Linked DNA regions of Ovis aries. The protein of the gene in region 4 interacts with the protein of the main gene of each other region in a pairwise test. Links are inferred from orthologs where the notes say so. Each region holds a gene or a part of one and is shown on either strand. Other genes may lie near its edges. The genes, in order: DAZAP2, OTUB2, SF1, FAM168A, UBE2V1 and SS18L1.

What was found.
Region 1: the proteins of FAM168A (region 4) and DAZAP2 interact in binary tests that used the Homo sapiens proteins (3 or more experiments, as listed by UniProt). The two-hybrid records come from large-scale screens. The link is inferred for Ovis aries from reciprocal best matches to the Homo sapiens genes FAM168A and DAZAP2.
Region 2: the proteins of FAM168A (region 4) and OTUB2 interact in binary tests that used the Homo sapiens proteins (3 or more experiments, as listed by UniProt). The two-hybrid records come from large-scale screens. The link is inferred for Ovis aries from reciprocal best matches to the Homo sapiens genes FAM168A and OTUB2.
Region 3: the proteins of FAM168A (region 4) and SF1 interact in binary tests that used the Homo sapiens proteins (3 or more experiments, as listed by UniProt). The two-hybrid records come from large-scale screens. The link is inferred for Ovis aries from reciprocal best matches to the Homo sapiens genes FAM168A and SF1.
Region 5: the proteins of FAM168A (region 4) and UBE2V1 interact in binary tests that used the Homo sapiens proteins (3 or more experiments, as listed by UniProt). The two-hybrid records come from large-scale screens. The link is inferred for Ovis aries from reciprocal best matches to the Homo sapiens genes FAM168A and UBE2V1.
Region 6: the proteins of FAM168A (region 4) and SS18L1 interact in binary tests that used the Homo sapiens proteins (3 or more experiments, as listed by UniProt). The two-hybrid records come from large-scale screens. The link is inferred for Ovis aries from reciprocal best matches to the Homo sapiens genes FAM168A and SS18L1.

The regions. Positions count from the first base shown.
Region 1 is NC_056056.1:134,988,564-134,993,475, forward strand, and holds the start of DAZAP2 (DAZ-associated protein 2), read right to left. Parts: upstream 3,471-4,912; 5' UTR 3,389-3,470; coding exon 3,376-3,388; intron 2,374-3,375; coding exon 2,255-2,373; intron 1,841-2,254; coding exon 1,595-1,840; intron 679-1,594; coding exon 550-678; 3' UTR 1-549. UniProt on the Homo sapiens protein: In unstressed cells, promotes SIAH1-mediated polyubiquitination and degradation of the serine/threonine-protein kinase HIPK2, probably by acting as a loading factor that potentiates complex formation between HIPK2 and ubiquitin ligase SIAH1.
Region 2 is NC_056071.1:56,420,399-56,425,402, reverse strand, and holds the start of OTUB2 (ubiquitin thioesterase OTUB2), read right to left. Parts: upstream 3,494-5,004; 5' UTR 3,292-3,493; coding exon 3,289-3,291; intron 1-3,288. UniProt on the Homo sapiens protein: Hydrolase that can remove conjugated ubiquitin from proteins in vitro and may therefore play an important regulatory role at the level of protein turnover by preventing degradation.
Region 3 is NC_056074.1:39,463,940-39,469,166, reverse strand, and holds the start of SF1 (splicing factor 1), read left to right. Parts: upstream 1-1,869; 5' UTR 1,870-2,249; coding exon 2,250-2,658; intron 2,659-3,980; coding exon 3,981-4,109; intron 4,110-5,227. UniProt on the Homo sapiens protein: Necessary for the ATP-dependent first step of spliceosome assembly. Binds to the intron branch point sequence (BPS) 5'-UACUAAC-3' of the pre-mRNA. May act as transcription repressor.
Region 4 is NC_056068.1:51,811,744-51,816,676, reverse strand, and holds the start of FAM168A (protein FAM168A), read left to right. Parts: upstream 1-1,808; 5' UTR 1,809-2,014; intron 2,015-4,933.
Region 5 is NC_056066.1:78,157,019-78,161,966, forward strand, and holds the start of UBE2V1 (ubiquitin-conjugating enzyme E2 variant 1), read right to left. Parts: upstream 3,322-4,948; 5' UTR 3,304-3,321; coding exon of another isoform or gene 3,282-3,303; 5' UTR 2,786-3,281; coding exon of another isoform or gene 2,758-2,785; intron 1-2,757. UniProt on the Homo sapiens protein: Has no ubiquitin ligase activity on its own. The UBE2V1-UBE2N heterodimer catalyzes the synthesis of non-canonical poly-ubiquitin chains that are linked through Lys-63.
Region 6 is NC_056066.1:54,727,032-54,731,458, forward strand, and holds part of SS18L1 (calcium-responsive transactivator), read right to left. Parts: intron 4,366-4,427; coding exon 4,168-4,365; intron 3,404-4,167; coding exon 3,242-3,403; intron 3,059-3,241; coding exon 2,954-3,058; intron 2,163-2,953; coding exon 2,070-2,162; intron 1-2,069. UniProt on the Homo sapiens protein: Transcriptional activator which is required for calcium-dependent dendritic growth and branching in cortical neurons. Recruits CREB-binding protein (CREBBP) to nuclear bodies.

The DNA.
Region 1 (4,912 bases), on a different chromosome or scaffold from region 4:
TTCTGTCCTGCACCATTGATTCAATGGAGATTGGTGGGAAGGAGTGGAAGACAAGGGTTGAGGGTAGGACCAGGGGCAAAGGACGGAAAGAAAAAGGCAGACAACTAATGCGGTTCGTTTATAACAAGTAATATAAATCAAAGACTTAAAGGAGATTAAAGACCAATCAGAATAATTTGGCAACTTTAATTCTTAGGAAGATCAAAGTTCCCTCCAAACCTAATTTGATGTTTTATTACTAAAAGCAAAGACCAGTATGGTACAGTATTACTCCAGAGGAATTAAAGGAAGATCCTTAGGGCTGCTTCACCCACATTCATTTTATGAATGGATACCTCCCCTACCTCAAAATGCTTTAGGGAGGTACTGCTACCATTACATGGTTCCTTATTAAGTTTGAAAAGTGCCTGAAAGTTTGGGCACCAGAAAGACACCCCAACAACATGTGTCTAAACTGCAACTTCAGGTTAATATGACTAAAGCAGTTACATTGTGAGAAGTGCTGAAGGTATGTGATGTCTTTCCCGGCATAGAGATGGCCTTGGTTCTTCACCAGATGGTGTAGCCACCATCTGAGCCACCCATGAAGAAGTTTCCCTTCCGCTGAGTTACGAGGACATTGGCTCCCTGCATGACTGCCAGCTGAGCAGCATTGGGAGGGCATCCAGGGGGAGGAGGCTGAAAGGAAAAGACAAGGTTGATTGGGCAGAGGGCAGCTATGGGAGGGAAGTGGACAAAGGTGAAAAAGGACCAATCAGGAAGATGGCAGTGTGCTAACCAGCGGCATCTCAAAGAGCTATCTGGGCCACCAATCTGAGTCCAGCAGGTCTACATTCTTTGTAAGGCCAAAGATATAAACAGGAAACCCACTCATTTAAAGGGTTCTGGATCCAAAATAAAGCCTATGGATACCTTCTAAGTGTGGGAAGTCCAGACTTGGCATTTTCAGTGCAGAAAATCACTCCTATTCACATCCCAAAACGGAGCGGGTACCAGGTCCAGGGACTTATATCACAGGGCCTGACAGTTTTCAAATGGCCCTGGATAATCTGAAGGCTCTACCTGATGACAGCATTTTCACTTCATCCCTAGCCTATGGTTATTGAGTAGATGGTCCTAGCAAGGACCATATGGGCTCTAATTCCCATACATAGGGGAACTAATCAAGAGACATTGCTAAAATCCCTAGTATCTCTCTAAATGCAATTTAATAGGGATTATGCATTGTTTTTTTAATCGTCATGGTTCCTAATACGATGCCATGCTGATGGCACATATAAATAAATGCTTATGGAATGAATGAGGAGTGTTACTAAACTAGTATCAAAGTGAACTGGAAAAGCAGCAGGCAGGACTCCTAAGACAGGAAAACAAAGGAATCTGATAAATTCTAACATCAGTGAGTACGCCAGATGTTACTGACTGGCCACGGTTCTCCTGCCCCTTTGAGTGCTTTCTGCCTGACTACTGGACGTCAGTGATTATTACACCAATACCAGCAACTATTACCCAGGGATGATGAAAGGATGACCAGTCATTTCAGAAAGTTAAAATACACAAGGGTCGAGCTTTTTTGTGACCAAGTCATACTCACAGGAATGTTTCCGGCAGTAGCGCCAGCTCCAAATCTGGCCCCTGTATCATACCCTCCTTCCACCAGCACTGTTGAACCAGGTGGATAGATGGGACCAACTGGATAATAAGCCATGGGGATTGTGGAACCTAAAGGTCCAACAGCCACAGACTGGGCCATGGGAAGATACAGTGAGGCGCCAGGAAATGCAGCTGACATGGTGGGGACGGTGGCAGCCCCCGGGTGCACAAAGCTCGGACGATAGAGCTAGAAGAGGCAGAAGAGAAGGCAATAAGTTACTTCATGACATTCCTATTTCAGATCTCAATTTAATGAGTCAAGTCTTAATTCTCCTTGTGCAGATTACACTCTTTGAGTTACACAAGTTGCCTTTCCACTGCCACTCAATATTCTCCTGGATCACTTCCTGCTATAGCTAATGTTAGGCTCAGGGAATGCAAACTCATCTTCTTAACTTCAGCCAGTGCCAAATAACATAAAACAATCAGATAATGCCTTCTCAAACCCAAAAGAAATGGCTGAACTATGTCACGTTTTAAGATGATTCATGTGAGCACTCTCTTCTGTTTGTGGAAAGTAAATAAATGTGTGGAGCCAGACTTGGCCAAGGACCGAAAACATGATCCAAGAGTATTCCATTATTAAGTTAACTGGAAGCACCTCTGAGTAGGCAGGTGGAGCATCAGTATAGGGTGGAGCCTGAGGAAGATGCAAGGTCTGAGGGTACACAGGGTTCCCAGGAGGCTGCACAGGGTAAGTTGGCTGCGTTGGATATTGACCTGGAAGACAAGGGGGGAAAAAAAGCATGTTGTCTACCATACAGTCACCAAAACAAAGCAGGGCATATTGGGTAGCTAATCTAGCTGGGATAAGCAAAAAGAGATTTCCAAACAGACTGCCCTAGAGGGCCTGATTCCTGGAGCCAAGAAAATAAGCATTCTCGTTGCACCCTTAAAGCTGAAGAAGCTGGATTCCAACTGGACATCCAGTAGCCGACTGCTGTAAGGGGAAAGTCTAGCTGGGCCCAAGATCCTCTCAGAACGCAGGGCAGTTCTGGGCATCCCCTCTAGCCGGTATTTCAACGGTGTGTCCTGTCTCCCTGTCCTGCGTGGTCTCCAAAGGTCTGGTTGTAACTGACCAAGACCTCGTGAGTAACGGTGGTTGTGGTCATCGACCTCACAGGTTCCTACTCAAGGTCGACTTCCAAATGAAAAGAGTGAGTGGTGGAAGTGAATGCTGAGATCGTGGAGGGGGCTGAAGGGAATGTTCTGACACAGAAACCGGGAGACTTTCTGGCCGCCAGCGAGGGTAAGGGGGAAGAGACCCCCTTCGGGCCCGACTGGCCCGCCCACCAGAGCGGCACTTTACTAGTTAAGCCCGGAGGCCTGCCTGTGGTTCCGGAGCGCGGCGCCCCGCCTCTGCCAGTTCTCCATTGGCCTACCCAAATCTCGCCTCCAGCTCCCCATTTGCTCCTACAGATGCCCATCACGACAAACCTTCTCCCCACCCCCCCAACCCACCCACCCAACAGCCCCCCCCCAACCCGAGTCCGCAGCTCCAAACTGCGCCACAGAGTTTAAGGGAGAAAGGGCCGTGAGGGAGCGAACGGCCGTAGTTCGGGAATGACGAAGGTGTCTGGCGCAGCCCCGGGCACTGCAGCTGGCTCAGGAGCGCGGCGCACCTCGCCCCAGGCCTGGCGTTCGGTGACCCTGGGCTCCGGGCCCGCTCGTTCCGGGCCAGCACTAGTCCCCCCGGCGGCCTCAGCCACCCCCTATCCTTGCCTTTGCTGTTCATGGTGGCTGCGGGTCCGGCTCGGCTCGGCGTCGCGGACGGTTATTTTTTTCGTCCTCTTCCTGTTCGTAGTCACTTCCGTGTCACGTGACGATCTGTCCGCCTAGCGTCACCCGACGCCCGAGTGCCGCTGCCACCGGAAACCCCGCCCCTTCGCCCGGCCGCCGGTTGCAGGAGGGAGGGCCCGCGTGATCCCGTCCGCTCGCGTAGGCCCCGCCCACCGGGTCTGGTCCTCCAACCCCTACCCTTGTCCCTCGGCTGAAGGAAAACCAAATACAGGTATTGTCTCAAAACGGGATCTTCTCTCTCTTGAACGCTCGGAGGCAGTAACATTAAACTATTCTCTGGAACCTTTTTCCACCTACGTTCAGCACCTCAAGGTCACCTCACCTTGACAGCCTTTCTACAAGGGGCATGCATGCTTGCTAAGTCTCATCGGTCGAGTCCGACTCTGTGCGACTCTGTCCATGAGATTCTCCAGGCAAGAATACTGGAGTGGGTTGCCATTTCCCATGGACCGAACCGGAAACTAACACACACACACACACACACACGGGACATAGATTCCTACACACACACACACACACACACACACACACACACACGGGACATAGATTTCTACAATCTTACCTAACTGCCTGAGATGCTTCGCAACCCTTGATCTATCTCTCGTTCCCCTCACTCAAGTCTTCACTGCCTTTCTATTCTACCGATAGGCTGTCGGTGTTTTATTTCTGTGTCGCTTTCTCACCGACAGAAAGGGTATGCTGTGCTGTGCCCCGCCCCACCCCGCTGCAACAGCTAGCACTAAAACGCATGTTCTTGGTACCCAAGGAGTACCCATGCCCTGGCCCTTACTTTGATACCTGTCACAGACACCTGTATGGTACCTGATAGGTATTTTCTCTGTGTATCCCTTCTCTTCTAACTTAATCGTTCTTAAGAGCAAAGATGCCATCCTTTAAGGCAACAATTGCTTCCATTCTTTAAGATATTTGCTGAACGCTTGCTGTGTTCAGGTACAGAGATGGAGCTGAACAAGACAGCCCAAGGCTATTTTCTCATGGTTTACATTCTGTAGTGTAGGAAGAACATTAGAAAAGCATCTGAAAAGAAAGCTTTGAAAAGAAAAACCCTCGGTAAACATTAGCAACCTGATCCATATTTGCTGTTGAATGACTTAAACCACTGAAAAGACCAGTACTCACTTCATCAGCAGTCCGCTGTTTTTCTCTCCAGTGTCAAATTACAGTTTGCAGGACACCATTAATATGCATGATTTTATGGAGTCATCACAGATCTTCACAACAGCCCTGTGTGGCAGGCAGGGCTTGTTTAAGCATTTCTGTTTTTCAAATGAGAGATTTGCCCTAAGTCACACAGTGAACAGGTTACAAAGTCAGGTGTGTTATCTTGGTCCCCACCCCCACCCCGGTTCCCAAATCAGTGGTTTGGTTTTGTTTTGTTCTTATCCCTTTACTCTGCCTATCACAACTGCTGCTGCTGCTGCTGCTAAGTCGCTTCAGT
Region 2 (5,004 bases), on a different chromosome or scaffold from region 4:
CCCCTCACGCTCCTGAACTCCAGCCCCAGTGACCCTCCTATGTTCCTCCAACAAGATGCACCCATTTCCACCGCAGGGCCTTTGCACATGCTGTTCCTGTGCACGGACAGATTCTCTGCCTCTTTACGTGTGTAATCACCTTCCCTGACCATCTTGTCTAAAGTTGCCCCTGCCCCAACCTCTACAGCCTTAACTTGTTTTATGTCTTCAGTGGGTTCTCTAACATATACTTTCACTTGTTGACTTGCTTCCTGTCTCTCTCCCTCCACAAGAATGTCAGCTCCATGAGAGCAGGGACTTTGCTTGCCTGTCATGACCAGATTCCCCAGCGCCTGCCACACAGTAATGCTCCCAAAATGCAGAATGAGTGGATGACGGAATAGATGGATAAGCTGGTCTCTGACTCCAGCCTGGCCTCTTTTGGCCCTCTGTCTGCTCCACTGCCAGAGAGACCATCCAAATCAACCATCTCTTATTTGTCAAAAATACATTATGGTCCCCTCCACCACCACATTTGCAGACTAAAACCCAAACCCCATGGCACAGCATGTGAAGCCCTTTACAGTACATTCTGACCACCCCCCTCCCAGTTTTTCTAGATTCATCTCTCCTCTCTCCATACAGACTGCTCACCATTCCCAGAATATCCCACTCTTAACCATGTTTCCAGGCCTGTAAGCACATATTTCTAGGCCTGTCCCACCCTGACTGGAACACACAATTCCCCAAATGCTTCCTGAAAACTCCTACACATCCTTTAATAACCCATTCAAAAGACCCCTTTGTGAAGCCTTCCTTGACACTCACTGCTCCCTTAGAGTGCATGGGTTCCTGCTGTGCTCCCCAAGCCCTTAAGCTTCTTAGGTCATGACTGATAGTTCAGGAATTGCTTGTGTCCAGTTCTGTCTTGTCTCATGCAGTGAGTTCCTAAAAGAGGGCAGGCCCTTGTCTTTCTCATCAATGCCCAGCCCAGCGTGGGGCTGGACTAGGGACCCTACTGGGGGCTTGTTTGAAAAACCAAAGAACAAAGCACAGAAGGGCCCTGTGGGTTTGCTGTTCACATCTGACCCTCACTCTTCACTGAATGTTAAATGCCCTTTGAGTGAGCATGAGGCCCCTCACTACCTGCAACCTCCATCAGTGGCAGCCCCCAAACCTTGTCCTCACCCAGGCCACTGCCTTCCCAAGGGTTCTATGTCTTCTACCTGGGACCTTTCCCAAGCTCAGTGACTTTGAAATGGATACAGAAAGAAAACACTATATGTTCCAAAGGCATTCTCCTCTGCCCACCACACACACACTCACCATCATGCATACCACACAGACTCAAAAACATCACCAGTGGGCCCAGCACGGTGCCTGGCAAACAGTAGGTGCTCACTAAATGCTGAATGAACAGACGAGAACACACCCTGCACTGCCTCTGCCCCACCCCCTCCCCATGATTCCCAGACAGACGTCTTGTTTGGTGAGTTAACCACTTCATTCTTCTCCAAGGCACCTACGCTGCCTGTCACAGGGCGCGGGCTGGTGCTCTGACTCTATCTGCCCTCTAACTTCTGTTCTCCTGAGTCCAGGGCAGATGGGAGGCTGGAGTCAGAGGCCTCACTGTGCACCACGAAGGACAGAAGATCAGGGCCCAGCCCCACCACCCCGCCATGCTCTCAGCTACCCAGTGGTGACTGGAAGGCAAGCCAGCCTCGGCTCCAGGGTGGCTAAACCCATTATTACCCCAGCCCTGGCCACTCCCTTGTGGGCGATGCAGAAACACTTCCGTGCCCTTCCAGGAGCAGAAGAGCCAGGTCAACCCTTAGGTCCTGCCTGGAAACAGGAAGTGGGTGTTTCCAGGCGCTCCAGAAGCCCTCAGCCACACCCAGCTGGTTTGTTCAGGACCGGCCGGGCCACCCACGCCACACTCAGAACGTGTCAGACCGTGACCAGGCTCTGACCTGTGCCCCAAGCCAGCGGCAGCCCTCAGTGGTCAGTGACCCATTTCCTTACTCAGACCTAGGAGGGAGGAGGCTCTAAGAACCAGGCCCCTGTGCACACCCATTTCCAGGATTTTGTTGTCAGAAGGAAAGCCACGGCCAATTATCTGAACCAAGCGCTCCATGTGCATCACCTCACATGATCCTCACAGCAGCCCATTATACAGGTGTGCAAAATAGTGCTGGGGAGGGGAAGCGACCAACCAACGCCTCTCGGGTTTCCAGGGGGTGGAGGTGAGATCACCCCTCAGGGCTGTGACCACAGGCCAAGCCACCACTCCTTATGCGTTCCAGGCTCCCTGGAGCAGGGGGGTCAGAGTTGATCAGTTTTAGGCATTCATCACACCGAGTCCTCTGCAGATTGCCTGTGCCCCTGTCTCCCCTCACCCCCAAGATGGACTGATGTAGTGATACAAAGGAATAATTCCTGGTGGCTCAGATGGTAAAGAATCTGCCTGAAATGCTGGAGACCCAGATTCGATCCCTGGGTAGGGAAGATCCCCTGAAGAAGGGAATGGCAACCCATTCCAGTATTCTTGTGGGGAGAATTCCACGAACAGAGGAGCTTGGCGTGCTGCAGTCCATGGAGTTGCAAGGAGTCGGACACCACTGAGCAACTAACACACACACACAGAAATACAAAGAGCACTGGCCTGGGAATCCAAGTCCACCGTGATCAGTCCCAGCCCCTCCCTCTCTGGGCCTCAGGGTCCCCGGCTGCGCAAGCCCTGAGTTTGGCCTGGCTCAGAGGGTCTCGGGGGCCATTTCTGGCCCCTAAGTCACGTGCCTCACAACTTGAGACAGTCTCTCCACGTGGGTCCTAACTGCAAATACCTTCTGTTGACAAGCAGGACAGAGAGGATGTCGGGCTACCCGTGGCAACCCCAGGTCCACTCGTGGGGCTTGGGAATGGGGAGGTCTCTAATGGCTGAGCCCTCGGGTGGGTGCGGCAAGGAGCTGCGAACTGGCGGGGGAGGGCTAGTAACGAAAAGGAGGGGACCCTTAGCCCTGGAGCCTCCCTGTCCCCGCTGTTGGAGCGGCACATGGGAAACCAGGGACGAACGCGCCGGGGGCGGGGATCCTGGGCGCTGGGTTGGGTTCTCGTTGCTGACCGTCCACGGGAGCCTTCCAAGAAAGGACCGGGACACCCCGGTATTCCTGGGGGACCCGAACGCAGCGGATTTGACACTGAGGGCTGAGCCTCGCGCCGAATCCCCCGTCCCGCGAGTGCACATGCGCCCGGGGGGCGACCCCGCCTACCGCGCCCCCTTCCCACCCGCTTTCCCCTTAGACCACTGACCATAGTGACCGGAGCCGTCGGGCCAGGTCCCGCCCCAGCGAGGAGCGATCCGGTGCGGGAGGGCGCCGCGGGAGCCACTGGCTGGCTCCGCCGTTGGGTCGGGCGGCGGGGGCCTCGAGGGCGTGAGGACGAGCGGAGAATACACCCGACCGCTCCGCAAACCAGAGGTTAGACCTCCACTGTGTCCCAGCAAGACACACGCCCCGCGATTGACGTCTGAAGCGGGCAATCAGAAGCTGGGCCACAGGACGTCACAGAAAGTGGGTGGGACTTCACGCGCCTTCAGCCTATGCTTTAGGGTCCATTTGACAGGGTACCGCCTCCTTTTAAAGACACAGAAACCTCTTTACTGGCAAAGGAGCCCAACCCAGAAAGACAAGTCTTCGTTTGTGAAGGCTGAAGGACTTTTGACCAAAACTGCAAATTGAAGTCTTCTGAAAGATTGTCTGTGCTATGTGCTAAGTCACTTCAGTCGTGTCCGACTCTTTGCGACTCTATGGACTGTAGCCCGCCAGGCTGCTCTGTCCATGGGATTCTCCAGGCAAGAATACTGGAGTGGGTTGCCATCCCCTTCTCCAGGGGATCTTCCTGACCCAGGGATCGAACCCAGATCTCCTGCATTGGCAGTCCAGATTCTTTGTTGGCCCTGGTTAATTCATAATAAGGTCATATAAGTATAGTTTGCTCAAGATCAGAGGACAGGTGCTTAGGGAACATGAGTTCAATAATATTAAGTTACCAGCCTGCACGTGTAGCTTCTAAATAATATTTTATGCACTTCCAAACTCATGAATCAGTAGGTTGCCAGGCCACCCAATTAATGTTTGTTGAATGACTGAATTTCTACGATCGTTGATTCTGTGCCTCTGGAATTGTATGGCTATATATGAGGCACAGACCACGAACCAGGCTTGGTTGACTCACCCTGTATACAAGCTCATTATTGCTGAACATCAAACAGACGAATATGTATCATTCAGAACGAATATGTATCATTCAGAGATTCAATCACTAGTCCTTGACTGCTGGAAGACAGTGCCTTGTGGGCGGGGGCAAGGGGCTCCAATGAATTGTATGTACCTCTTTTATAAGTATTAATACTTCCTAGACTGTGTATTAATTCCCCCACCAGACTCTTACACATCTGCCCTTGGTACCAGGCCAGGCTCTCAAGTAGACAGCATCTACATCTTCCAAGTGCATATCACTTACTCAGTGGGGAGTCTGGGATCAATCAAGACTCAAGGAGAAATAACAATAAAAGCTATTTTTCTTTGAGCACTTACTATGTATCAAGCACCATCCTAAACTCTCAACCTATATTATCATAATTTCCTCACAACTGGTCTATGGTGGTAGGTTCTATTATCCCTGTTTTACAGATGAGGAAACTAAGGCATAGAGAAATTAAGCTACTTGCCCAAATTTACCCAGCACATGGAAGGATTCAATCCTGGTCAGCCTGACTCCAGAGCTGGGTTTGAATTTGTTCTGAGGAGCAATGCATGTGCTTTCAGGGGCTGTGTGCTCCGCCATGCCTTTTCTTGCATGTAGAGTTTCTGCTCTGTTTTTTTTTTTTGTTGTTGTTGTTTTTGTTTGTTTTTTTTTACAGCTAAGGAAAAGCCAGAGAGGTGACAGGCTCAGTGCAGGGCTCATCTAGGAAAATGCTCAGCTGGGATGAAGCCCGGATTCTGACTCCATATCCAGTGCTCAGTG
Region 3 (5,227 bases), on a different chromosome or scaffold from region 4:
TAATAGCTATTTCTCTGCGTCTTTTCTTATTCAATAACAATACAGCAGGGAAGTCCCTCCTTGTCAAGGCTGCCTACTAATCCAGGTTATGGGTAATCTACTTCATTTAACCAATCACATATTGATGGTAGTTTTCTGTTTCCAGGTTTCTGCAGTTACAAACAAGACCGCAGAAAATGCAATAGAAGACTTTGAACACATTACATTAAGTAGTCACATGCCTTGCTTAGGGGCAGATTCCCAGGAGTGGGATCACCACATTGAACATGTTTTTTATTTTTCCCTGAAAGAGGTACAAATTTTTTTAAGCCACACCATGCAGGATTTTAGTTCCCCAACCAGTGCCCCCATGCATTGGGAGTGCAAAGTCTTACCCACTGGACTACCAAGGAAGTTTTGAGAGGTATAATTTTAATAGATAATAGAATGCTTTTCAAAAAAGCATTCAAAGTAGTAACTTAGCTTTTTTTTTTCCTGATTGTTGAAGACGTCTCATATCACTTTTAATTTGCATTCATTCTTAGGAGATTGGTACTTTTCATATTTTTGGCTATTTGGATCTGCTCTTCTCAGGCTTGTCTATTCAGTCTTTGCTCATTTTCTGTTGTTTTTCTCTTTTATTTTTTTAAGACTTATTTCCATATTACAGATATTAGCTCTTTATCATATGTATGGCAAGTATACTTGCCTAATGTATTACTGTTGACTTTTATCATAGTTTCCTTTGGTAACTAACTTTTGTTGTTTCCTGTCTTCATAAAGTCTCTACCCCTAGATGACTCCGACAATCTCCTAAATTGTACTGTGTCTGTTCTATTGTTTAAATTTAGGACTCTATAGGGCTCAGGGGTTAAAGCTCTGCCTGCAATGCGGGAGACCTGGGTTCGATCTCTGGGTCGGGAAGATCCCCTGGAGAAGGAAATGGCAACCCACTCCAGTACTCTTGCCTGGAGAATCCCACGGACAGAGGAGCTTGGTGGGCTACAGTCCACGGGGTCGCAAAGAGCCGGACACGACTGAGCGACTTCACTTCACTTTATACCATTTACTAGCTAAATCTTTTCCTTACTGAATTGAAATGCCATTTTTTTGGTTAGACTCTATCCTATTGTACTGTCTTTCCTACAACAATACCACATTGTTTCATTAGTGTGTCTTTTCTATTGTATTATTCGGAAAGGCAAGCTCCTCAACCTAGTTTACAAATTTCCCCACTATTTTCAGTTATTTTATTTGACTTAAAAGATGATCTAATCAATCTTAACTTCGCTGGGATTCTAATGAAAACGCACGGTATTTTTGATAACTTCATATTGCCTTCCACTTAAGATATGTGTACCTCCATGGGCTCGGTACCGTTTTTAATCCTTCTTCCTCCCACTTTTTATTTTTTTCAAAAACAGGAAGTCCTCGTTTACCTGTGTTGTCGACGGATCCGGTTTACCGGTCCGCGCCAGCCCCTCCCCCACCCCTCGGTTCCGGGTTACCATGGGACTCGAGGATTGACGTCACCAAGGGCTTCCGCGCCGGACCCGAGGGTCAACGCTGAAGCCAGGGACAGAGACACGGTTTTGCCCCATCTATGCATGCCCGCTCCTGTCCCGCTCCTCCCCGACCCCAATTCTTGTTCCGCCAAGGCTTTCCCGCCGCGACCTCTAGCTTAAACCCAGCGAAATTACTCCCCGGGGAAAAGGAGCAAAGGAAAAAAAAAAAAAAAAAGAACCAGCGACAGCCAATCCCAGGACATTACAACGCAATGGAGATTGATTGACTACACCAACCCAGCCAATGGGAGAGCTCTTGGCCCCATACGTCACAGAGTTTGCCCCACCCTATCCCTCCTTTCTGGACTCCGAGCTCCGTTCGCGCAGTAACAAATGAAGTGCGCGCTGCGACACCTCCCAGCTCTTCAGGCTCGGCCGCCATTTCCTCGCCTGGCCTAACGGTCCGGCCAATCCCAGCGCGCATCGAGAAAAGCTAAGGCTCCACCAATCGGAGGCCGCCGATTCCGACCCTTTGCCTCCGCTCGGCCCAATCCAGGCCCCGGCCCCGTCGCCCCCGATCCGCCCCCGCGGCGCTCTCTCTCCTCCCTCTTTGTGCGTCTCGCGCCGCCGCCGCCGCCCCGCCGCGTGAGAGAACGGGTTCCGCGCGCTCCGCGGCAGCGCAGTCGGGTCCCCTCCCCCCAGAAGATTCGCGAAGAAGAAGCCGCCGCCGAAAAGGAGCCGCCGGTGCCGGTCCCTGGGGGCGCCATGGCGACCGGAGCGAACGCTACGCCGCTGGGTAAGCTGGGCCCCCCAGGCCTCCCTCCCCTCCCTGGCCCCAAAGGGGGCTTCGAGCCGGGACCACCGACTGCCCCCGGGCCTGGGGCGGGGCTGCTGGTGTCCGGGCCGCTGCCGCCCCCGCCCGTGGGCTCGGTGGGGGCCCTGACCGCGGCCTTCCCCTTTGCGGCGCTACCGCCGCCGCCGCCGCCGCCGCCGCCGCCCCCCCCGCCTCCCCAGCAGCCGCCGCCGCCACCGCCCCCCTCCTCGGGCTCCTCGTACTCGCCGCCGCAGCCGCCCCCTCCGCCGCCGCTCTACCAGCGCGTGTCGCCACCACAGCCACCGCCACCCCAGCCGCCGCGTCAGGACCAGCAGCCGGGCCCGACCGGCGGCGGAGGAGGTGAGTCGGGCCGAGAGAGCGCGCGAGGCGCTGCGCGGATGGGCCCGGCCGGCTGAGGGCCGCGCGGCGGCGGCGACGGCGGCTGCACGCGGCAGGGGCGCGCGCGCGCACGGGGAGGCCCGGGCGGCGGAGCCACGGGGCGCGCGGCCTGGTTCTCGGGCCTCGAGTGCGCACGCGCCTCAGGGGTGGGGGCCCGGCGGGAGGAAGTTTGTTGCGCGCAGGCGCAGTTTGGCGGCCGGGCTTTGTGGCTGTCCTAAAAGCCGGGATTGGGGGGACCCCTTGTTGCTCTCTGCCCCTGGTGTTCAGGAGCGGGTGTGGATAGGGGATCGAGTGGGTGGTTGGGGTGCCTCATGTGCAAGTCCGGAGGGCGGAAAGGGTCGACTGATGACGTGGAGCGTCCTCTTCCTGGTTGTAGTGGAGTCCTAAAGGAAGAAAGTACCAAGAGAAGCTCCTTAAAACTTCTTTAATAAGACAGGGCTTTCACTTCAGAACCAGAATGGATGAAAGTCTTCAGGGGGTGTTTGGGTCCGATTTTTTTGTGGCCCTTTTTGGAGAAGGATGTTCCGTTCGTTTCCATATCTCACTGTATCTACCTAGGAAGTATGACACGCCTCCTCTTGAGGCTTTTCCGCTGGGTCTTGCTCCTGAGAAGGCGCCTTTGTGTATCAAACGCCAGGAAGTTTCTGCTTGTGTACTGGGGAAGAAAGATTTGGCTCTTGTTGTATAGCTTGTTCTTTGTTGAACTTGATACATTTTTTAGACCCTAAGTGTCCACCTGGCCAGGAAAATGCTGACCTTAGCCAAACCTCTGAGGAGAAAAGTGATTTTGCTGAAAAATCCAGGTTTTTCAGTTGATAACCATAAGTTTAGTTGCGTTTTGTCTCAGGTGACTGGTGGGGAGGTGGGAGGAGCCAGAAGTTAACAATATTGCTTTATACCCTTGAATATTCAGTCTGCTCTTATGTCCTGGGGCTGTTAAGAGGTTTATGGACACCATGTGGTATACTATTATCTCAATACTTTTTTATTTCACTACTTGAAACTTTATGCACTGAGATTTCTTGTTTACATATTTCACAACATTTCTGTGGACAAAAATCATAAATGTGCCATGTTAACTTTTCAGACCCAGGTCCCCTTCTAGTGGCCATGTCTTTTGACTTCCCAGGTTTGTCTTCCATTCTTTGCTGTTTCTTTTTAGGTCAAGTTCTCAGTTTCACGGTCTGCTGAGGTTGTGTGTAGTATAATAAGTATCCTAAACTGCTTGTTGGTAGTTACTCTGCTGGTTTATCTTTGCATCTGACGAACCTTATCTCTTTTAGACTTCCCCAGTAAGAAGCGGAAGAGGAGCCGCTGGAATCAAGACACAATGGAACAGAAGACGGTGATTCCAGGAATGCCTACAGTCATCCCCCCTGGACTTACTCGGGAACAAGAAAGAGCTTATATAGGTAAATACACGTTCTGCACTCAAATGCATTTTCAGATCGTTACTGAACATTTTATTTGTTGAAAGTTTGGGACTTTACAGTTTTCTCTTTGAGAGGAGCTATGGTCAGATGACTTTGATGTAATCCATAAGTTTTTGCTCTGTGAGTCCTGCATTTGTAGCTCCTTGTTTTGGTCTGTTGGTAACAGCAGTGTTCTCCATGAGTGCCAGAAGGGTAGAGGGGCCTGCTTAGGAATGAGAATAGTTCCCAGCCCAGCACCCCACCCCACCCTTTTCAGCTGCTGTTCATTACCAATTGATGAGGTGAGTGTTACATGCCTCTCTGGACTTGGCCCCAGTGGAGAACACTGCAGGTATTGTAAACCAAGTACCTTTTTCACAGCCTGGCCTTTCACCATAATTTCATATTCCTCCTTTCCCTAAAATGTGGTCTTTTATTTTTTTATAGGTACTTTGTGAAAGGGGAAAAAACTCAGTTTAATCAAAAAGTGGTTCTGAAAGTGTGTTTACCCCCTTTTACCATTTTGTTGAATTTAACCTTTCCTTCAGCATCTTTTCTGGTTTGGTCTTTGGAGAGCTGTCTTAAAATGAGGGCTCTTGTGTTTACTCCTAAGGAACTCTGCAGGGAAAGGGGTACTGCTTGGATCTGGAATAATGAGGTGGTTAGGATAAAAGATCTTAACTGTTGGGGAATTTTGAGAATTATGAATGTCCACAGTAGAAATGAAACTGACTTCAAAATTACCTTTTTTAAAAAAAATAAAAGGTTTTTAATGCAAGTTTTACATTTATTTGTGTACCTGTACAGCTGTCTCAAAAAAGTTTACTTGATACACATTTCCTACTAACCAAATAAACATTCGAGTAAATTAGGGCAGAAGCCTCCTAGACCCATGAGGTCCTCTAGGCCATTATTGTTCTTGAGGGTCTTCATCTCTTTTCTAGACTGCTGAGAATTTTGAGTTGTTGAAATTGTCTTATCTCCTTTTTACAATACTAATAATTCTTCTTTCCCTACTGTTGAGTCTATTTCCACCCATCCTTTTATGTCTTGTATTTGACTAGTCTGGGTCTTGATAACCTTATGAAAATGTCCCTAGTGGAGTGATAGCCCAAGAA
Region 4 (4,933 bases):
TATAAGAATTCAAATAAAAGGAAAATCAGTATGTCTAAAATATGTTCTTGGGGAGGCAGGACCTTGGCTTGAGTTTCAACAATGAGTAGGAGAAAAGGAGAAAATGGGTGTAGAAAGTCCAGAAGATGGAAACATTTAAGAGACAATGAAAATTGAGAAAATCCTCTCTGCTGCTGCTGCTCCTGCTAAATCGATTCAGTTGTGTCCAACTCTGTGCTACCCCACGGACTGCAGCCCACCAGGCCCCCTGTCCCTGGGATTCTCCAGGCAAGAACACTGGAGTGGGTTGCCATTTCCTTCTCCAATGCATGAAAGTGAAAAGTGAAAGTGAAGTCCCTCAGTTGTGCCCGACTCCTACCGACCCCATGGACTGCAGCCCACCAGGCCCCTCCATCCATGGGATTTTCCCGGCAAGATACTGGAGTGGGGTGTTATTGCCTTCTCCAATTCTTTTATGAATTTTAAGTGACCACCATTATTTGTTTTAATAGTGGAAATGTTGGGCTCCCAGAAAAACTAGATAATCCTCCTCTCCGAGCACCACTGAAGACAACAGAAAGCCATGAAAAGCTTTCAGGTAGCAAAAACAGATTGTTGCTAGATTTGAAAATTTTATTTTTTGAAAATAGTTTATAGCTTAAAAAGTTTGTACTGTTTTTAAACAATTCTGGCAGTGCGAAAATAAAAATTACTTTAAATCTGACACACTTTATTCCAAGGTTATTACAGATACTATTTTGGGCAACGTTTTTACTGAAATCGTTCTATGCTTATAGAATATTCTCAAGTTTCACATAAATTAGATCACTCTAAACATGTTCTATTATCATTTGAGAATAAATTGTGAATAGTTTTTGATGTCAAGAAATAGGCCCATATCATTATTTTAAACAGCTATTGTTTGTATATATAATTTAACCAGCTCCTAGTGATGGACACTTAACGTTTACCCCACTATAATCAACAACCTGCGATAACAACCTTGTCCATTCATCTTTTCCAAACTGATTATCTTTCTAAGGTAAATTCTTAAAAGTAACGGAGCTGGGTCAAGAAGTACCCTCTTTTTATATTCGGGCTCAAGCTGCCAAGTCGTCTAGTTTTGCAGGGAGACCAGAAGGAAGCTGCTGCATTAGTTCTGGTGCGAGACAGTGGTAAACGGTTATTTCGAAGAGTACAGACTCGCATGCAGGTGATCTTGCCCATCTAGGCCTGTACTCGGCTGGGTGGCATATTTCCTTCCCTTTCCCCTCTCTTTCACGTCTTTTTTTTAACATGGAGGAAGAACTGAGAACTGCATCTCCCAGCATTTCACGGGGACCACACTCCCTGGGAACTGTAGTACCAGGTCTGAGAAGGGTCCGGAAAGAGGGCGAGAGGCTGTGAGACATGCTGGGAAGTGTAGTCCAGCGGGAGGAGCTCTTAGGGCTGTGTGGAGGTGTGTGCGCGCGCGTAAAGAGGTTGGAGACGCCGCAAACATCGTCCCTTGAAGATGGGGCTGCTGGGTGACCTAACTTCCTTCCTGTGTGGTCTCTGAGTCTACAAAAGCTGCCCGCGGATGGTTGGCTTTACTCCATTGTCTGTGACCGAGCGGGGAGCGGTCCCTCCGCTTCGGGCGCGCGGTCAGAGGCGCAGGCGACGCGCCGGGCGGAGCGGGGCATGCCGGGAGTTGTGGTCCCGGCGAGCTGAGGCTGTGGGACGTGTCGCGGCGCTGCGCCGGCTCCTCCTTCCCCTCCCTTCTCAGCGGTCCCCCGCCCCTTCCCTCAGCCTCCTCCTCCCTCGCCCGCAGCCCAGCGTCCCCTGCCCCCACCCGTCGGGCTCCTCGGCGGCTACTGCAGAGGATTCAGAGCCGAGTCGCTGAGGAGGAGGCGGCTCCTGGTCCCTGCGCGCCATCCGCCACCTTACTGGACACGGGCGACGGAGCGAGAGCGTCGCCTCTGTAGCCTTCAGAGAAGACAAGGGCATCGCCGCCTCAGCTGCCGCCGCCGCCGTTTTCGCCTGCAGCGGCTCGCCGGTGAGGAGATACACCCCCACCCTTCCCCGCTCCGCTCTCGCTGAGCCTGGGCCGGTGGTACTGGGGAGAATGGGAATGGGGGCTGCGGACCCCCTCGCGGGTTGGGGGAAGGGGGTTAAGGTCGCGATGGAACGGCGGGCTGGCAAGGGAGACTTGTCCAGGCGCGGGCTGGGGGTGGGGTGAGGGTGGGACACGAGCAGGTTGCGGGGGGAGCGACGAAGCGAGGGGACTTTTAATGGAGACGACCTGGGACAGGAGCATGGGATTGTAGGGTTGGGATGGAATTTGGATGGTTTTGGGCGAAATGGATGGTGAAACTGGAGTGGGATGGCTTTTAATGGGGGAGGGGACTGAATGAGGGTGGTGGATTTGGGGTTGGCCTGGAGCAATTGACAGCTTGGGATCTGGGCCGGGTTGCGGGCTAAGGGGTTGATTTCAATAGAAAGTGCGACTGCAGAGTTGGATAGGACCCTGGGGGGTGGTTAATTCTGGAGTGTGGCGTGGACCTTCGTCAGGCTGACAGAGGAGGTAGGAGCTGGGGGTGAGGGGCTTGGCATGGGTTGAGACCTGAGCTTAAAGTGGGCGCTTGCCATCTGGGGTGGTGGAATTTGTTGAGACTTACGGAATAGCGTGGGTTAGGCCAGCAGAGGAGGTAGAATTTGGGGTTTTCCTGGGGAGTGCTTATGGAAGTTGTAATAGGAGCTGGTGGGGGTGGGACTTTCAATGAGGGGAGTGTGAGGGTGAGCTGGCAGGACGGGGTAAATTAGTAGAAGTTAGGCCCCAAATGGGCAAACAGGGATCGAAATTGGGGGTGGGGTGGGGTGGGAACACAGCGGGATGGCATTTAGAGTGATGTTAAAACTGCTGGTGGCTCCCTGTGTACAGGATGGAGGCGGAGGGCAGAGAAGATGCTTCCAGGCTGGACTCACCAAAAGAATAGTGGCAGGTGGTGAGCAAGGTTGGGGAAGGTATCTTGAAGAAGATGTCCCTTGGCCAAGGTGGCCGAGGCGGTTTGGGAGAAAGAATGTCTGAGATGAGCTAGGAGGACTGGAGAGGTGGTTGATGATAGTGAGGTGGCAGATGGGGCTAATTGAGGAGTGGGAAACCTGGGGCTATTGGTATGGAGTGGGCAGGGAGGATGGAGAGGGGTGGTAAGCAATATTGGGAGGAGGTTGATTGGATGATTTTGGAGAGGAAGGATTGGGATGGCCTCCAAGAGACAGGAGAGGGTTGGGAGTGGACTTAAATGGACAGCTTTGGAGGCTATGGTTGGGGGGCTTTGCAGGGGACAGAGAAGGTACATTAAAGACTGGTTTCTAGAGGACTTCTTAAGCTGTTAGTTTTTGTTTCATTTGTATTAGTATCATGTGGAAGTAAACCATCACAAAGGGTAAAGTTGAGTGGGGCTTCAGTTAAGGTAGAATTGAGGAGGGAAGGCATCTTCTATTATTCATGTATTTTAAAAAGAAAGTTGAGGGGAAAACCCACTGTCATAACTAAAGGTGAAGAAGATGAAACCGGAATGTGATAGATACCTTTCTGTTTGATGTCTCTGCCTTCTTTCTGCCCAAGGTGTGTTTTAAAAATTAGTCCTGAAATTTGGTGTTAAATAGATTTGATGAGCTTAAGTAGTTAAGGGAACATTCCTTGCTTGAGAACTGATGAATGAGACTGAAAAATATGAGGCTGAATTTATTTCCTAGTCAGGCAACGTGCATGTATTCAGAAAGAGCTTAGGCCTTTTTTTTCCCCCCTCTTAAAATTGATTGCTTGAAGACTCCATTTATTGGTGTCCTTGTTTGCAAGGCAATTAGGCCCATCATTGTATTGCAGGCTAATAATCCTGCACTACTGCTTGGCACTACCGCTTTATGTAAACATAAGACAGGAAATATGGAAATGTCATAAATATTCATTGGTGAGATGGTTTGCTGTTGATGGAGTTTTTCATTTGATTCTCTTTTGACATTACTTGATAAGATTTAAAATAATTGGATTGTATTTCTATAGATTGAATTTTCTTCCAAAGGAATTCAGGTGGTTAGAATTCTGTCAGATATAGATAAAAACATAAAATCATTTTTATTTTATTTATTAGGAGATACAAGCATATTGCATTAACTACAAAAATAATACATCCATTTATTCATCAGAAATTTTATTTAAAGCTTAATGATATGCTCATTCTTATGGCAGAATAGTGATGCTGGAAGGTAGAGAAGGATGTTAATGGAGGAAACATCTTTAGGGAAATAGTTTTCTGGACTTAATTGCATTAACTATGATATGTTAAACATGAAGTAGCTGTTGATTAGTGCTCAGACTGGGGAAAAAATGAGGAGAGATGTAAAGATAAAATTGGCACCAATGGGATCAAAATAAATCTAGTTTTTGGTTCCAGCTTCAGAGTTTAGCTCGTAAATAAACCATTTTCCTTGGCTTTCACAATTGAGCACATAAAAATACCCAATATAAAGAATCTTTCTTTGTCGTTCTGAAATGGGCAGAATGGTTGAAGGTTGGACTTAATCATTGGAATTGAAAATGTTTTGTTATGAGGAAGCTTTCTATGTTACAATGAAAATCAGGTTTGAGCAGTTACTGGTAATTTGATAAAAGTGTAATCTAACTAATGCAAGCGTTTCTCCTTGTAACTTTACTCTGGGGTCCAGCCATTGCATCTGCAGGCTTGATATAGAGGTGGGACATTTATATTAAAGCTATAGCTTTTGAGAACTCAAAATGGAAAATAATCACTTGGGAGAAATGTTTTGGTGGATTTTTTTTTTTTTATCATAACTGTGTTCACCTGTTCAGTAGAAATGTGTATAAAGTGTTTTAGTATCTTTACCTCATTTGATTCTCCCAATATTCTGGTAGCAAGAGGAGCAGTGGAGGTATTGTATACAGGTACATTGG
Region 5 (4,948 bases), on a different chromosome or scaffold from region 4:
TCAGAGGAAAGACCTGGCCGCCAAGGGTTACTCTTTGAGGCCCTGCAATCTTGGTCAAGGCAGGAGGAAGTAACCTGTCCTAACACAAGCATCCTGAGGACTCGGGTGGGGTTTTCACAGTTCCACCCTCTAAGATCTATGCGGAAATCACACACTGCAGAAGCAAAAGAGGCAGAAAGGTGCTGTCACCAAGCGCTGAAAGCAGTGGCCACGGAAAATGGAGCTCAGCCCTCACAGGAACTCGGAGGCTTCACAGCTGTTTCCTGGGACCCAGGGGCCCAGACTCATCAAGAGGCTTGTTCTAAAGCTGCCTCCGGAAGGCCTCGGGGCCCCTGACCACACCTGAAGGACTTCTCAGGGTTAGAAAGCAGAGGGGCCTGTGCACTTGTTTCAGTCTAACCCAGCAGCCTGCCCCAAGTCATAGCAATACAATCTTTCTGCTTCCCACTTCAGCGCTCTACACTCCTCTTACTGCCTGGGAGGAGAGGTCAGATCCTGCCATTCTTCTCTTTTTAAGACCCTCATTCATTCACTCACCAAATATTTACTGAATGCCTACTTCAGACCAGGTGCTTGTTCAATGGCTTCCTTTCACACTGAATAAAATCCAAAGCCCTCTCTCTCTAACCTATCTCTTTAACAAGCCTCCCTTACACACTGAAGTCTTCGGTTCTTTCAATCTGCTAAGCAGATTCCTGTCACAAGGCCATTCCACTCACTGTCCCCCAACTCCGGCCTGTGACACACACCGCCAGCTCCTTCCATCATCTGCTTGAGTCCAAATACCTACTCTTGGAGAAGCCTTCCCTGACCACCTCTCCGGACAGCACCATATCACACAACTTCCTTCACAGCGTTTACTGCTATCTGAAATCTTAATTATGTATTCCTTTAATGGGCTTCTCCTTGACTAGATTAGAAGCTCTTTGAGGACACGGGTTATGTCCACCCTGTTCACTCTCCATAAAGGGGCACAGTAAATTCTTAACAAATATCTGTTGAACGCACAGACAAAGGAGTTCTCGGAAGTCCAGTTCCAGGGCATCTCAAAACCTGTTCCCTGTTACCTAAACCATGCCAAGTGCTCTTGTATGCCACTAGACAGCAGCTGACGATGTTTTATCTGATGACCACAGCATTTAGGAAGCACTCTTCAACTGGGAGGATCTCAAGAAGTTAGAATTAAGTAGCTGTTAAACCGGATTATAGATAGCCAATCTCCAGTCACTGCCAAGGAGCTGAGCGGCAATACCACCGTAAGGACGGCGGCTATGGGCACAGCCGTGTGAACAGCCTCCCCGGTCCACAGCAACCTGGCCGGGTGTTACTCCGCTGAGAGGAGCCTCATGGCAGTCTGGCCTGACTCAGCCCCTCTTCTGAGAATGTCCGTCGCAGTCTCTTGGTAAATGAATTGACTCAGCACTGTTCCAACTGAATCCAAATCCAGGAAAGGGAGGTGTGGTTTCCTCTATCCTTCAGGAAGACCCCATGGCTTTCAGTGTAAAAGACAGCTTGTGGTAGGTGACTCCGGGCAGACCCCCGATGTCCAACTCCTTCCATGCCCATCTAACAACCAGACAAAGACGGCCCCTCAGGACACTAGAGGAGTCACATGCGGGGAAGACAGACTCCCTCACCCTGCTCACTTCTGGTCACCAACCTTTCCTACCAGTGCTGCTGTGGCCTTATACAGCTGGAGGATTCCAGTGCCCAGCCCGGTGGTCCTGTTTGTTCTCCCCCTCAGAGGCCGCCCACGGTCACCTCATTTGGGAGGACTTCTTTGGCCAATTTCACTGCCAGACACCTCAGGGGACACCCTGCTCGCCAAAAGGGAGACACTCCGTCACTCCCAAATCCTGCACTTCCAGAATCTGACTCTCTTGCCTCACTGGCCCCTCTGGGGGACCTTCCCCAATCATCACCCTGTCTCCTCCAGAAGGTCACCTGAGTCCATCCCCTGCTCCCCAGCTGTGAATGTTCACTCTGAAACAGATTCCTTTAGGACTTGACCCTCTGGAGCATCTTAGGGGAGTACAGAGCAAGGAATGCAAAATAAATGCTGCTTCCCTTTACCTACCAGAGTCTGGAAGAACTCCCCCTGGCCCAGAGTGCAGCCCCCTCAATCCCTCTTGCATCTCGACTTTCTTCTCCAGTTCCCATTTCATTTATTCCTCTCCCCATGACCATCCAACCATTGGGGAACTTCTGACCTGAACCCCCATATGTTACCAATACCTGAAAGAGTGGGAGAGAGACAGTCTCCATATGAGACACTCCTAAGGTATGTGTCCCTCACCCAAATAAAAGAGATGTTTCTTCTCAAAGAAGAACATCTCTGAAACCTGATTTCCAGTCTCACTCACTGCATGGGGCTTCCCTCAGTCGACCCTTCCCCTAACACACACCTCCAGAGCTCCCAACTCATCTGTTCTTCACCCAGGATCGCAAGCTTCCACTGACCGCCCTACTCAGAGCTCGCCTCCTAAAACCTAACATCTATCTCCTCAAATAGGGGCCTGGTAATGATGGGGCCATTGCACTTTCAGCTGCTCCAACCAAATCCCTCTGGAATCTGAGAAATCCCTCTCCCCTTCTCACGTATCCTGTGGAGATGCCCTTAATCCCAGCTCCCCCACCGCAAAAGCTGCCATCCCAAGACGCCCCCTTTCTAATCAGCGTAAAAATTTTCTCAGTTAACCCAATCCCCTAAACTTACACGGATCATGCCCTTAAACAACGGGGCATCCTATCACTCACCCCTCAGGATCCCGTTTCCTTCCCTCATTCTTCCTCAGGGGCTTCTCTGAAGTCAGGGCCAAACGGACATCCCCAAGGCTCCTCCCCCCGCTCAGACACCCAGCATCCAATAAAGGACTTCCATCTCTTTAGGGGCGCCTCCTTGTCCTCTAGGGGACCCCCCGATCTCGTCTAAGGAGCCGGCAGCCCCCGACTCCTCCGGAGTGGCCCTGGGTTCCCCCTCGCCCGCTCCGGCCGTTCTGCAGCGCCGCAGGGCCGGGCCCTTCCTCTCCGCAGGGCCCTCACGCCGCCCGGGGGAGCCTCGGCCTCACCGCGCCGCCCACAGGCCCCTCAGGCCCCCGCCCGTGCTTCCGGCCACCGCCTGCTCCTCCTCCCCGCTCAGGCCGCCCGCGTCGCCGCCGCGGGGCCGAGCGGACAGCGGCCCTGCAGAGGCCCTGGCCCCGCAGCAGGGGCCTCTGCGGGTCTCCGGCCCCCGGCCCAAGCCCATGCCCCCTCGGCCGGCTGGGCCCGGCGCCCCCGCTCACCCGAGCCCGTGGTGGCTGCCATCTTGCGTCGCTGTCGCTCAAAGGCCGGCCCCTTCTTCACCCCCCACCGTCCCCGGGCTTTTCTGCGCAGGCGCGTGCGCAGGCGCGGACGCCTCTCTGACGCCTGCTCCGCGGGCCGCTCGACCCGTTGCATGGAAGGTTTTTTTTCCCCTGCCCTTTTAGAGCGAGGAAACATTTGCGTGCGTGAGGGCCCAGCAACCTGCAAGGCCCTCCAGACTCTGGTGCGAGGCAGGTATTGAGGTGCTTGGTGAGGCAAGGGTGATCAGACTGGGAAGGGTGTGATTAAAAGACAAGAAAGCTTTAAAAGAGCGCCTGTTGTCATAATCTATAATACAATGTAATCTGAAGAAAAAATAAACAACCCACCAAAACCCCAAAACCTGAATCACTATGCTGTACACCTGAAACTAACACCATATTGTAAGTTAACTATACTTCAATAAAAATAAGCAAATAGATGCAAATTTATAATATTGTTTAAAAGCACTTATCTTGCCCTGGGCTTTTTCCTCTGTGAGGTTTGGGTTAAAGTGAAAAATGAGGGCGAGAGGGGTTAAGATATTTATATAAACTCAGCCCTTAAGTAATTGAGTCAGAATTTGAACCCAGGCCATATGTCTTGCTTCCCAGATCAATGCTTCCAGGTCAGAAGGGGCTTGAAGCAGGGCGGTTAAAGGATTCCGGGGCATATATATATATATGGCAGTGAAAACATTCACTAATTCACTCAAATATTTACTAAGCATCTACTATGTGCCAGACACTTTCATAGGTGCTGTGGATGGATATACATCCCTGAAGAAGCAAGCTCCTGCTCTCATGGGCTTACATTTTAGTTGGAGGCAGGAAGAAAGTAAACAAATAGGGAAGAACCTAACTATAATAGGATAGGAAATAAACCAAGGGAGGAGTGGTCAGGCCTCTTATGGAAGTCACATTTCAACAGACACCTGAACGATGGGAAGCAGATGGTGGGAGTGACATGTGCAAAGGCCCAGGAAACATATATTGGCAAATGTTAAATTCAAGAAGTTGACTCCTCTAGCATAAGTGGTCTGAGAAACCCTTATGTGGACGTAAAGACTGAGGCTGGAAGAGAGGAAAGGTTTGCTTCATGGTGGCACAGCTACACACTGGCAGAGAAAGGACCAGAACTTTCAGTACAAAGGAACAAGGAAGCTGGACACCTGCACCCAAGTCACCTGGTTCTGACAGCAGTGCCTCCTAAGCATCTCTCTACCCCATCCACGTCTAGGCTCCCCTTGTCTCCCACGTGGAGGATCCCAGCAGCCTCCATTCTTGCCCCCCTGTTCCATTCTCCTTATGACAGCCTGAGTCTGCCCAGTTGCTCAATCGTGTCTGATGGTAGCCCGCCAGGCTCCTCTGTCCATGGAATTCTCCAGGAGAGAATATTGGAGTGGACAGCCATCCCCTTCTCCAGGGGATCTTCCCCACCCAGGGGATGGGTTGCTATTTCTTTCTCCAGGAGATCTTCCTGACCCAGGGATGGAATCCAGATCTCCCACATTGTGGGAAGACTCTTTACTGTCTGAGCCACCAGGGAAGCCCCTTCCCACTACTGGTCACATGCAGTCATCTTGACATTATACCCTGTATCAAGTGATTCAAATTTACCTTGAAGGGCA
Region 6 (4,427 bases), on a different chromosome or scaffold from region 4:
CAGGTAAAGGGGCTAATTCACAGCAGCAGCTGCTGAGGCCTGGACACAGCAGGTGTGCAGTGAGTAAGAATGCAGCGCAGCTCTCATGCACCCAGAAAAACCTTCCCTTGATCCAGGGCCAAACCCCAGGGGAAGATGGGCTGGTTTGGACAACTCTGAAACAAGAGGCAGGACTCTCTGAACATGCCTGAGGAGTTCTCAAGAGGGTCTTGTGGGAGCAGCAGAGCCAGGGAGCCCAGATTCTGCCCTTCCTGGAACAACCCGGGGCTTTCCCACCACTGGGGCAGAGACGACCACTTCCCTTGTTTTTCTGCTCCTTTTCATTTGTTTCTATCTTTAAGAATATTGTGACAGCCTATGACGTGGCCATGAAAAAAGGAAACACTCATTGGTTAAAGAAGAGGCTGGTGTTAATAAATGTGGTAGGAATGTGGCCACAAAACAAAGGAACAAACCCATGATGGTGACTTGTCTATAAAACCTTGTCGTCAAGCACAGAGGAGCCTCGGGGCCTGAGTGGCACCGAATGCCCACCCACAGTCACCACTGCCGTCGGGAGAAACTGAGAATCGACCTGAGGACTGGGGGTCGGGGGCAGATCTGCACAGCCACAGGGTTAGCACTTTGAATTTCAACAACAGCCAATAATGTTTACTATTTCGAAGTTTGACTTCTAAATGGACAGATGCATTGATGCGATTTGAAATCTAAAAGCAAACCCAGTCCACCCGCCCGGCCTGGCCTTATCACCCCCGAGTCACTTCGATCGCTGTCTCCAGTATTTCTCGTCTGTTTATGGTGGGTGGGTGTGCTCTTAGCACTCATTGTTTTACACAGAAGGCAGCATCCAGATACTCTGGTGCTGCACACCTGGTATGACCCAGGGGACCTCCCACAGCAGTGCCCTGGACATGCCACAGTGGACACTGGCTGTGTCCAGCCTCTGCTCCTGCAAACCTCATGGAGAGAAAATGCCAGTGGGACGTCAAGGTTTCCATGGAGGGCTCTGCCGTGGCCCCGACAGCAACCCTGTCCCACCCATCTGGGTTTGCTGTGCCCCGGACCACTTCTCGGCCCTCTCACTCCAGGGAACCTGCAGGGTGCCTGTCTCCTGTGAACAATACCAGGACCAGCCACCTGTGTCTCTTGAGGTTCCTCATTCCCTTGGGGGACAAAGCTAATTATGGGAAGGTTCTTTATGTCAGCTTCAAGCCACCCCTAATCACCCCCACCCAACACCCCTGCCTTTCTCAGGGCACTGACCACTCCTCTGAAAGAAACACCCCCACCTCCCAACCTAAAAAAGACCAGGCAGGCCACCCACTGAGGCGTGGCCAGTACCGTGTGTGGTCCTGTGCGAGGGTCACTAACCAGGTGGAACAAAACATTTCCAGATGCAGGAGGAAACCATGCTGTCTGCCACACCTGCCCTAAAAGAAGTCACTGGATGTTTTAGCAAAGTCCTCATCAATTATGGAGGGTGAGTGGTTGTAGCCCAAAGCGAGGGTACAAACTGCACTTGAGACTTCGACAAGCCCTCCCTGGTGAGCAGCGTGGGGGCTCTTCCTGAGGAGGAGGCTGAGCCCAGCTTTCCTGGAAAGGGTGGGGAAACGGAGGTAGTGTTTACTGGGGACAGATGGTCAGTTCAGGAAGACGAAGGCTCTGGGGACGACGCTGTGACGGTACAACGCGCACGTGCTTAGTGCCGCTGGATTGTGCACTTAAAATGGCTAAAATGGTAATACTATGTGTTTTTACAATTAAAAACAGGTCACCTCAAAAGTCACATTTTCTAGTCACTCGTTCCACTCGTATCATCTGTCTTTTCTTTCCTGGGCCACTGGCAGCCCTGACATTGTCCCCACTCCTGACCAGCAGACTGGGGGCCCTGGATGCCATCACCCATGAGCTTATTAGTGGCCCCTCTCCTCTCAGGGTTTCCTGGGGGCAGCAGGAAGTCCTTTCCAGGGCCAGCTTGGTGCCATCACCTTGGCGGCTTTATCGGCACCCGCCCCATTTCTGCAGGCCCTGTGCACATTAGGCCTGGAGCTCACAGCCAGCTGCCTTACCGCCCTCGTAGTAGTGCTGCGTGGAGTCCTCAAACGACCGGTCGTAGCTCTGCTCTGTGTAGGATGCCGGCTGGTAGGCGTAGTCGCCATGTCCTGCAAGGAAATGGGGCGCCGAGCAGTCAGCAGAAGTCCTGGCTTCCCAGACCCGGGGAAGACCACATGGACTCAGCCATCAGGTCGGGATGGCGTGCCCCTGGATGTGGGTCCCGTGTCCTAGATTGAGCCCGTGGGGGCTCTTCCTGCTGTCTGGCAGCCAAGGTTCCTTTAAAGTGCAGATGGCTACCTGCTCCTGGGGCCAACAAGCCAAGGTTTACAGAGCATACTTGGTGCCCCATGTCCGACACACACGTGTCCGTTAGCTCTTAAGGTTGCTATGTGGTCACCATCCCGTCGCCGACTCCCATTGGAGTGTGTGACCCCTCTGGTCTTGGCCACCTCCCCACCACCCACTGCCTGACCTGGTCACACATCCCTGCATGGGGTCCTCCCCAAATCCCACCTGTCCTCTGCAGTCACTTTAAGACATCTCCACAAATCCTGATTTTAAAGATGCCGGAACGGTGACACGGAAAAGGAAAATAACCTGCAGAAGGTGTAACTGAGCAGCTGGGAGGTGAATGTTACGAGACATACAGTTGGCTCGGGTTCATCACCTTCCTGAAGGCACTTCACCACGAGCTCATATCCATCCTTCGGATATTTGTGTCCATCCATTCAGAGGACTGTGCCCCCAAGCCCCAGGGAGCCCAGTGCCAGAAGCTTCTCTCAGCAGAGACCAGCCCCCACCCTCAAAGGGGACTCTGGGTGCTTTGCTGGCGGGGGCGCTGGGACTGAACTGGGAACAACTGGGGAGTGCGGACAGATGCCAAGGAAGTGGGCCTCACCATCGGGGTAGTACTGCTGGCTCATGGGCTCCGAAGCAGCCTGGCCGTGGCCGTACTGCTCACCGCCGTAGTACTCCTCCTGGCCCAAGTACTGCTGGGACGAACCTGGGGGGACAGTGCTGATGTCACCTCCCCGAGCCCCAGAACCTCCCAGACGGGCCCACTCAGAGGACACCCCACAGGCCCACCCAGGGGACCCGGGGCCCTGCCGCATGTCCAGCCCCCAGGAGCCGGGCTTCCCACAGCAGCCCTCCCCGCACTGGTTCCCTGTACCAAGGGCGGCCTCACCTTGCTGGGAGGGCCGGTAGGGCGCCATGGGCCGCTGCCCCATCACGCCGCCCCCCTGCCCGCTCTGGCCCATCATGGCCATGGACTGGCCCTGGTAGTGCTGGCTTCCGCCCTGGGCCGCGCTGTAGTGAGACGAGGCTGCCTGCTGGTGCATCATGGACACTGGGAAACACGACAGACCCCAGTAACCCAAGCAGTTCCCAGGTGGTGCCTCCCCCACCCCCAGCCCAGCCTGCACCCTCACCCCAGGCTGCGGCTTCCACAAGGCCCCCACAATGGGGCCACATCACCCTTCCTGCCAAAGTGCCTTTGGGTGACTCATAAAATGTGAAACGCGGCCCCCACCCACTGGTCCCAGAGAAGTCTGTTGCCCTGCCCTCCCCAGACGGTAGCCTCAAAGGGCCCTGGGGGGCCCTGCCTGCCTGTCCTTTCCTTCCACCCTGCTCGGGACCCTCCAGGCAATGCTGTCCAGCACAAGGTATGTGAGCCACATCACGGAATGAAAAGAAACAGGTAAAATCTATTTCAGCAACATTTTATTTGACTCAATATATCCCAGACAGGTTGTTCTCAGTATGTAAGTAACATAACGAGAAGCAAGGAGTAATTTCACACCTGTTTCTGCTCGAAGCTTTGAAACTCACTGGGCACCCCAGTTTGGACCCAGCGCTTCCTGAGTGCTCAAGGCCCCAAGCTGTCAGGCAGGGCTCCTGCCACCCCTCAGCATGCCCTGCATGCCTTCTGCCTGTGGGAGCCCTTCCCTGTCCTCCCAGCACAGGGTGGGGGGGGCATGCCACCACCCTTCAGAGCCTCCCCTGAAGCTGCCGCAGGAGCAGCCAAGCCCCCTACCCACCGGGCCTGTACCCACCAGCCCCGCCCCTCAGGGAGCTGCCAGAGGAAGGGGCATGGGCCGAGCGGGGCGGTACCTGGGTTGGACTGCATGTTGATGTTGGCCCGGGACACGTAGTTGCTGATGGCGCCCTGGCTCTGCAGGGGTACACTCTGCGAGGCAGGGCCCGAGTGGCTGTAGCCGGGCCCCGAGCCGTGGCCACTGCCCGACATACTCATGGAGGTGGTGGGCAGCGTGCTCTGTGCCGTCTGCTGCAGGGACACGTGGTTTGGACCTGTGGGGGGTGAGGGGGTGTGAAACCCACAGAAGACCGGCTCTGAAAGACACCCCCCGCGA